Canis lupus familiaris: one gene and its partner. The protein of the gene in region 1 purifies or fractionates together with the protein of each later gene. This does not show direct contact. Links are inferred from orthologs where the notes say so. Each region holds a gene or a part of one and is shown on either strand. Other genes may lie near its edges.

Region 1 (4,678 bases):
GAAACAGTAAAGCTGATGGAGGAAGTGAGAAGTGGGCTCTTTCTTTTGGGGGAGATTAAAGGAGTATGTCTGTCTCCATGAGAACATCTTCTCTGAATCAAGGCTCATGGATTCTGCATGAAATCTGCTCATTACTAAGGGGACTCCTGCCCACCTTCAGTTGAATACGTACCTGCCATTTCCTTTAACCACCTGTAGTTCATCCAGATAGATAGACTCTAACACCTCGACTTCAGAGGGAAGTACCCTGGAGAGACAGGAGGAGATTGGCTCACCATTACAGCTCTCCCCATCAAAGCCTGCTAGAGCCTGTGATGGCTGACTTTTACAAAACGAAATTTTGCCTGAGTGCGTTCTTTTGCTAACCTCCATAAAAACAGGGGAAATAGATTTTCTTACATTGTCAAGGGGCCAGGTAGGAAGCATGGGAATCAGAGTTTAAGGGACTATTCCTGTCAAGAGATGAGGAAATGGATTCTTGGGAAGGTGAAATGACTGGCTCAAATACCAAAGTTTAACAGGCAGAACTAGAAACAGAGCCTGACTCTGTTTAAATTCCATCGTGCTGCTGGTTGACTATCTCTGTGACCCAGAAATAAGCTGTCAAATGATTCACATCAAGGCTACCAATACCACTCCTAGCTTTCCCTACACCACTGTTCATGTGGATTCCAGTGTCTACACATACTCTCAGTATCAGTTACCCTAAGCCTACTCAAGGAGATAGCAACCTGAACAGAAAAAGAGGTCTAGGTGGTATAAATACCATGATGTAGCAGAAGAGCCACCAGTTTTCGAGTAATAGGTACTAATCACTTATAGCTACATGATCTGAGTAACTCCGTAAGCTTGAGTCACTCTGGCTACTATATGTAGGTAATGCCACCTACTGTCTAGATTTATTGTAATGATAAAAGGCTGTTTATGTAAAGTATCTAATAATATCTTGGCCATAGTATGTAGTCTAGGTTCTTTTTTCTCCTATTTGTATATAACCTTCTCCTGTAAAAACGAAAGAAAAGGATATAGTCGGTATTCAATGTATTTACGACCCTTGCTATCTGGTTGATCTAGATCAACCTGTTTAGGTCAAGATCAGGTGGCCCTGATGTCAACGAGAGAACATACATGTTTAATCAAAGAAACAGGAGTTGTAATGACACTGAAGATTAGTGATAGGCTCAAGTCCATAGCTCTGCTCAGGTAATGCACATAAGGACGCATGCTTGGTTTCCTTTACAGTTATTGTTCCTTCTTCATCAAGAGCAGGGCTGCTCTAGCATATCCCATATATTACTCGTTCTCAAATTTTCTTTTTAAGTCTTAGGCCCCTCAAAATATAAAATAGATAACAGTGGTGTGGTTTGGGTTGACGTGAGTGTGGGAGTCTCAGGACACCACAGGCTAACTGTGCAATCACTACTGGCCTCTCCATGGCTCAACGTGTCTCCTCAGAATCATAAAGTTTCCCTAAATAAGTTGAAAACCATGAGCCTAGATAGTCTCAAAAAGGCCAACAGTGGCTGGGCTCCTTGAACCAATGACATCCATGAAGAGGCTTCACCTTCCCTAGTTGTGACTTGGGACCTGGATGTGAGGTGGTGACAAAAAAGGGGGTGAGGGTAGGGAGACTGTATAATGTCCTAGTACCAAAAACATGATTCAGAATCAGATAACCTGGATTCCTAGGTCATAGGTATGCACCTTTTTGGCAAATCGATTTACCTCTTCAGGCTTCATCTAGTCCCCTCAGGTGCTCGCACCTCAATTGGAAAAAGGACGCTTTTATGTATAAATCCACCGTGAGCCTCTCAACTATTCTATGAGGTAGATGCCACACCCACTTTTTTACATCTCAGGACACTGACTCACAGAAGCTAGGTGGCCCGGTCAGCATCACACGCTAATAAAATGTGGAGTGAACCCACATTTATCCTATTTCCAATCCCAGAGTCCTTCCAGGTTTGGGTCTCTTGTTGAGAATGCTTGAGAGAAGGACTAGGAGAGCTTTGTGTGAGGTGTAAAGCTTTATTCAAACAAGCTCATTCGTGCTGTCGGGGAGGGAGAAGGTTGAGGAAAACCTCGGCGGAAATAGGCTGACCCAAGGGGAAAGGGGTCGGGGCTGGAGGGCATCGGCTCCGGGAGGTAAAAGGGAGGTGGGAGAGGTGATAAGCAGGCATCCTTGGGACCCTGAGCAAATCCACTTCAGGACAATGAGACGAGTGAGGCCAGAGAAGAGGGGATCGAGCCAGCTAAGGCGCGGCCCGAGCTGGCCTGGCCTCCTCTCCCGTCCGATCGGTGCCCCTCCACCCTCAGCTCCCCGGTACAGAAGCTCTCTCAAGAAGACATGTCAGCGCCGCTGCCACCCCTTATCCCTCGCTCCGCCCCACAAGCCCGCCGTACGGACCGTCCGCGGCCACCGCCAGTCTCCGGGACCGGACCCAGGCGGCCAGCCAAAGCCCATGCCCCGAGAGTTACCAGTCCTCCTCCCCCGCAGCTGCCGACGCAGACGCCGCCATGTCTCCTCCGGCCCACAGCCGGAACCGGAAATGCCCTCTGGGAAGTCGGAGGCGGCGAGGAGGGAGCCGGCGCGCAGCCGTTTCCAGGCAACCGTGGACTCCGGGTCCTCAGGGGGTCCTGAGGCCCAAGGGACGGCTCGGAAGTGCCCTAGGAAGTGCCTATGGGCAGTCCTCCGTCTCTCCCAAAGCCTGAGCGCCTCTGTCCTCTGGGCTTCTTCTGGCCAATTCCAACGACTACAGCTGGTAACAGTGGGAGTCCAAAGAGTCCGGCTGTGGGGGGGAGGGGAAGAATTGTAAGTCAGGCAAAGTGTGCAGGCAGCCGGGCGGGGCGGGGCTGAGGGCCCGGGCCCACGTCCCTCGGCCTGAGGAGCTGGAAGCGCCTAGGCTGGGGGTGAGCGAGGGGCTCCGGTCTGCGAAGCGCGCCGGCCGGGGCCGTGGGCGGGCTGCTGGGCAGGTTGGCGGTGGCGGGAACTTGGGAGAGGCTGGGAGGGGCGGGGTCGGTGGGTCTGGCCGGATGGAGGGGGCGGGGGGGGCGGGGGGGCGAGGCTGGGCGGAGGGGGCGGGGCGAGGACGCGGCTGGGGCGGGGGAGGGGGCGGGGCCGGGCGGTCGGGTGTGCGCGGAGAGGGAAGGGGGCCACTGCGTCCTACGGGAACGGAGTTGGGGTGGGGTGGGGGGGGCTGGAAAGGAGGGAGAACGACAAGAGGCGCTCTGTTTGCTCCGAGATCTCGTCTTGCCATTCACTCCACTACGATGTTTTTGAAGCCTGGATTATTATGAAAAAGGAAAAGGCAAGGTGGCTAACATTAAGCTTTCTTCCATGCCCGCACCAGGCCTCCTAGATGTGTAGACCTGTCCCTGGAGCTGTAGCTCTTCACCACCATCTCTACCTCCTTCCTTCTGAGGGATCCTGAAGCCTCTGTCATGGAAAAGTACCACGTGTTGGAGATGATTGGAGAAGGCTCTTTTGGGAGGGTGTATAAGGGTCGAAGAAAATACAGTGCTCAGGTGGTGCACAAAGAGGGGCGTCTCTTGGGTGGGATTCTGTACCTCCAACTACTGTGGAAAATGGGACCAGATTACCGGCCAGTATTCCTGAAGCACTCTCTCATTCCTCTGACAGAGTAGGAGCTCTAATATTGGATTACTTGAGTTCAGATCTTAAGTCCACCACTTTGTAGCCTTTGAACTATGGACAAGTTACTTAACCTCTCAGCGTCTCTTTCCTCATCTCTAGGATGAGGATAAAAACAGTATCTGATTGATGGGGTTTGAGGATTAAATGTGATTAACACTGAATCACTACGCTAGTATAGTGTCTGGCACCTAGTAAACAGTAAATAAATTATGTTTATTATTATTCTCTCTGTCAAGCCATAGCAGAAGAGAGAGACCACTTGAACTCTATTCTTTCTTCATTTTTTTCTTCTTTCTCTTTCCCTTAAATCTTTTTTTTTTTTTTCTTTCCCTTAAATCTTTACCCAGAGTGCTTTACCCAGATTAGAACACCTCTCCCAGAATCCACCAAAGGGATCTGCCTGGTGGAGGCTGTTTTGTCCTAGGGCAGGGGGTGGGGGAGGCCTAGATAAGGCCAGGGTATATGGGGTAAGGGGAGTAGCTGACTAGTGGGTAATGAGAATTTGTTCAATCTAAAGCCTGAGTTCTGGAACTCTGAGATGAATGTTTCAATAGCGTGATTAGGCCTTGATGTTTCATCTTACCACTGACAGGTGGTGGCCCTGAAGTTCATTCCAAAATTAGGACGCTCAGAGAAGGAGCTGAGAAATCTGCAACGAGAGATTGAAATCATGCGGGGTCTGCGGCATCCTAACATAGTGCATATGCTTGACAGCTTTGAAACTGACAAAGAGGTGCACTTGGGTTTTGGGTCACCCTTCCCCAAGAAGAAGGCTCCCAGAAATTTCCTGACCTCACAATGCATAAATCTGGAGCCATCAGTACCATTGTCTTCTCCCTGCAGGTGGTGGTGGTGACAGACTATGCTGAGGGAGAGCTCTTTCAGATCTTGGAAGATGACGGAAAACTTCCTGAAGACCAGGTACCTTTCCTGGCTCAAACTTCTCCTCTCCCCTGACCTCTTTTCAGCTTAAGGACTGGTAGGGAAAGCTCGGGGCACTGACCGTCACCATTTTGAAAAGTC
Region 2 (4,438 bases), on another chromosome or scaffold:
TCTCTGGTTTTTGCCTGGTTTAGTAAAAAAAGAATGAATGCCTCAATAGTTGCTCAGCATTTACAGATGGAACTTCTGAGCCATTCCATTTTGTCTGCCTGTTCCAAGCACTGCTTCTGGACCTCCTATACCTTATTAATTTGATGCAATATGTACCTCTTTCTTACTTGCATAAAAAAACCCCAACGCATGGGGGTGGCTTGGGTGGCTCGGTCTAATTTCAACTCAGGACCTGATCTCAGGGTCCTGGGATGGAGCCCACATCAGGCTCTACACTCAGCAGGGAGTCTGCTTGTCTTTCTCCCTTTGCTTCTCCCACTGCTCATGTTCTCTTTCTCAAATAAATAAATAAAATCTTAAAAAAACACAAAACCCCAAACTCTTTGTAACAACCTCCTATTTGGTTTGTCACACATTGGTATCACACTACCATGTGATAGTGTTGCCAATTTTAAAGTGTCTTAAATATTTGTGTCTATTTATCAGAGATTTTCAGAGGTTTTTGAACTATTTTTATGAACCCTGGGATACTTACAGGAATGTATAGTGTTTCTATTCATTTCTCACATATATGGAGTTAGTTTATTTATTTTTGGCCAGTTAGCCCTGCTTTACTTGTTTGGCAATTCTTCGTGAATTTAAATTTCATCTCCAGCTCTGAGTTTTCCAGAAGCAAACTCAAAAAAAAAAAAAAAAAAAAAAAAAAGGGTGCTTCCTTCCTTTAGTTTATATACTGACAAATTTTGTCAATGCAGTGCAGTTTTACAATTTAAGAAATTATAATTTTGGAGAGCTATTCCTCCATTTTCTCTGTTATTTTGTTTTTTCACATGCAAAGCTCATTTTCCCCTAAGGATTCCAACTTATTTAGATGAATTTTCACCATTTTGATAGGATATTTCTTTTTTATACAATAGCCTTAATAAAGAAATAACAAATTTTTGATTGGATATGCCTGAAAACAACATTAGGCTTTTTTATGTTATTTTAGCATTGGAATGTGAAAGAAAGTGGTAAGAAATACTTGTCTGTACAATGGCTCATTGATTAAGTATTTTGATACTGATAAGCATTGTTGACCCTGTTATTCCAAGGACACTATTTTAGTCTGTTTGGGCTGCTTTAACAGAACGCAACACACCAGGTGGCTTATAAACAATAGAAATTTATTTCTCATAGTTCTGGATACTTGGAAGTTTAAGGTCAAGGTGCTAGCAGATTTGGTGCCTGTTGAGAATGTACTTCCTAGTTCATAAACAATTACCTTCTTGTCATGTTCTCATATGGTGAAAGGGACAAGGGAACTCTCTGGATTCTTTTATATAAGGTCTCCATCCTCATGATCCAGTCAATTCCCAGAGGCCCTGCCTTCTAATACCATCACATTGGGTGTTAGGTACTTTACATATGAATTTTGGGGGACAAACATCCAATCTATAGTATATACTAATATTGACTTTATGTAGTGTTACTAATTTTGTTTAAGCAATCCTTTGGCACATTTGCCATCACTAAATTATTGTAGCAGTTTTAAACTTAAAAAAATTGAATTTTCTCCATATTTGACATACTTTATCTCATAATTATCAACTATAGTAGGAATTATTGCGTCCATTTTACAGGCGAGAAAACTAAGGCTCAGAGAAGTTAGTAACTTTTCAAAGGTCTCTGACCCAAGTCAAGATTTAGTGCAAGAATGAGATTGAGTTCATTTGAATTTACTCTTTCAAATCTCTTTAAAAAAGCATAACAATCATGTTCATTTTGACAGGTTTTCATGATAGTAATTTTTAATGGTTTCATTTAGAAAGACTGTATGTAGTTGTTACCTAGACAATTATAGGCTTCTTCAGAGGGCCTAATGTAGCAGATGCTCCCAGTGTCTCATTCTTATCCCCTTGGCGCTTATTATGTCCAGGCACACAGCTAACCTCCCATTACTAGCACATGTATGTCTTTATAGGCAACAGGTACTGGGAATTCATGCCCTCCCCCTCCCTTGACGTGTTCATTATTGTCTTCTATATGCCAAATGTATATGTGTACCTTCCCTCCCACCCCAAAATCCATATGTTGAAACTCAATGCCCAATGTAATGGTATTAGGAGGTGGGACTTTTGGAAGGCGCTTAGATCATGAGAGTGAAGTCCTCTATAAAAGACACCCCATAGAGCTCCTTCTGTGATGTGAAGAATAGCTAGAAGGCACTATCTAGGAACCTGAAAAAGTGCTCTCACCAGACTGAATTTGCCTGGGTCTTGATCTTGGACTAGTCTCCAGAACTATGAGGAATATATTTGTTGTTTATGAGCCACCCAGTTTATGGTATTTTATTACAGCAGCCCGAACAGAATATGCCATTCACTTTCTTCTCTTTCCTGTTTTACTTCCCTTCTCCATTAGTGGTATTTTTTTTTTTTTGGATCACCTCCGAATGAACTACTTTCCCTTGAATCTTTATTTCAAAATATGTTTCTGGGATAACTCAAACTAAGACACCACCTTACCTATTTGTTATGGATATTGGAAGTAAACCTAGTAAACCTTATGGCCTGGAGCATCCAATCTCAGGTTGGGGCCCTCTCATTCTGGAATTTACAAAGATGGCTTCTCATTTGCCTGGCCAGTTGTCTGTTCCTTGCTTTTGCCTCCTTATCTATATTTTATTTGACTGCAGACTAGAATTCCCAGTTCCCTGCTCTGACTCTTTCCTTCCTTTTTTAAAAAATTTTTGATTTTTGGCAATGCATTTGGGGCTGACTCTCTGGTTAGTCACCTTATCTACCTAATCTCTTGACACTGAGCATTACTTCCATATATTAGTTATCTATTGTTGCATAACAAATTACTACAAATCTTAGTAGCTTATGATAATAAACATTTGTTATCTTACAGTTTCTGCAGGTCAGGAATCTGGGTGCAGCTTAGCTGAGTGCCTCTGGCTTAAGTTGACAGTTAAACTGTCAGCTAGAAGTGTGGTCTCATATGAAGGTTTGATTGAGGGAGATCTGCTTCCAAATTCACTCATGTAGTTGTTGAAAAGCTTTGGTTCCTGGCCATACAGTTCTTTCCACAGGACTGCCTCATGACATGTGTATTAGTCTACTTGGGCTGCCATAACAAAATACTGCAGCCCGGGTAGCTTAAATGCCAGACGCTTATTTTCTCACAGTTATGAAGGCTAGACGTCCATAGTCAAGGTCTTGACAATTTTAGCTTCTGGTGAGAGTGCTCTTCCTGGCTTTTAGACAGTGGCCTTCTCACCATGTCCTTACATGGCCTTATTCTGTGCATGTATGGAGAGAGAGATTTCTGATGTCTCATCTTCTTTTTATAAGGACACCAGCCTTTATGTCCTCATTTGACCTTAATTACTTCTCTAGAGGTCCCATCTCCAAATACCATCACATTAAGGGTTAGGACTTCAACATACAGACTTTGGGAGAGACACATTTCAGTGTGTGACACAAGGTACAGGAGACAGTGAGAGAGCAAGTGAGAAAAGCATCCATAATGGAAGCCATAGCCTTTTCTAATCTCATCTTGAAGGTGACATCCCATCACTTCTGCTGTGTTCTATGTGGTAGAAGTGAGTGCATAAGTTTAACCCACGCTCAAGAAGAGAAATTTAAACAAAGGTGTGAATTTAGTAGGTGAAAATCATTAGGAGTATACAGGAGAAACTCTCTTGCTTTACTCACACACATAATACTTATGACACTACATACATGGGTCTTGTTTCCCCCACACACCAAGGCAATTCTCTGTGACATCAGCTGGATGTCCTACACTTTAATTCAATTTAATTCTGACTTGCTAGAGTTAGTGCAGATCCCGTACGTTAAGGGCTAAATCCACAAGACTGCTCTCAACTTCAAATACCAATAGTGAGTAGTAAGTTCCCAGGTTACCCACAACTTCTGTATGATTTGGTTACAAAAGAAGTTCCCACAGCCCCCTCCTTGGAGTTGATCATTTGCCAGAATAGCTCACAGAACTCAGGGAAACAATTACATTTACCAGTTTATTATATAATGAAGGATATGATAAAGGATACCTATGAACAGTCAGATGAAGAGATACATGGGGTGAGGTGTGGAAAGATTCTGAGTGCAGGAGCTTTTGTCTTTGTGGAGTTGGGATGTGTCACCCTTTCCAGGAGATAGATATGTAGGTAGAACTTCCAGCCAGGAAGTTCTCTGAACCCCCCCTTCAGGGATTTTAATGGAGCCTTCATCATGTAGGCAAGATCAATGATAAACTCCATTTCCAGTGTCCTTTCCTCTCCAGAGAATGGACAATGTGAGTATAGTAGATATGCGGTGTACCTCCATGGTAGGCTGCAATACCCCTATCTCAGTAGGTTGCTGTGAGAATTAAATAAGGTTATACACATATAGCACCCCAAATTTTATAATTTCTGAGAGCAAGCATTCAT

What was found. The genes of interacting proteins can lie anywhere in the genome.
Region 2: the proteins of RNF25 (region 1) and UBE2E2 purify together in Homo sapiens (affinity purification with mass spectrometry; 3 studies listed by BioGRID and IntAct, counting the BioPlex papers as one, with this or other methods). This does not show direct contact. The link is inferred for Canis lupus familiaris from reciprocal best matches to the Homo sapiens genes RNF25 and UBE2E2.

Annotation. Positions count from the first base shown.
Region 1 is NC_049258.1:25,146,285-25,150,962, forward strand, and holds the start of RNF25 (E3 ubiquitin-protein ligase RNF25), read right to left. Parts: upstream 2,920-4,678; 5' UTR 2,763-2,919; coding exon of another isoform or gene 2,520-2,762; coding exon 2,479-2,519; coding exon of another isoform or gene 2,214-2,478; exon of another isoform or gene 2,199-2,213; intron 248-2,198; coding exon 173-247; intron 1-172. Other genes in the region: STK36 (serine/threonine-protein kinase 36), read left to right, coding at 2,214-2,762, 3,243-3,308, 4,248-4,388, 4,499-4,576. UniProt on the Homo sapiens protein: E3 ubiquitin-protein ligase that plays a key role in the RNF14-RNF25 translation quality control pathway, a pathway that takes place when a ribosome has stalled during translation, and which promotes ubiquitination and degradation of translation factors on stalled ribosomes.
Region 2 is NC_049244.1:20,994,869-20,999,306, forward strand, and holds the start of UBE2E2 (ubiquitin-conjugating enzyme E2 E2), read right to left. Parts: upstream 2,997-4,438; 5' UTR 2,894-2,996; intron 1-2,893.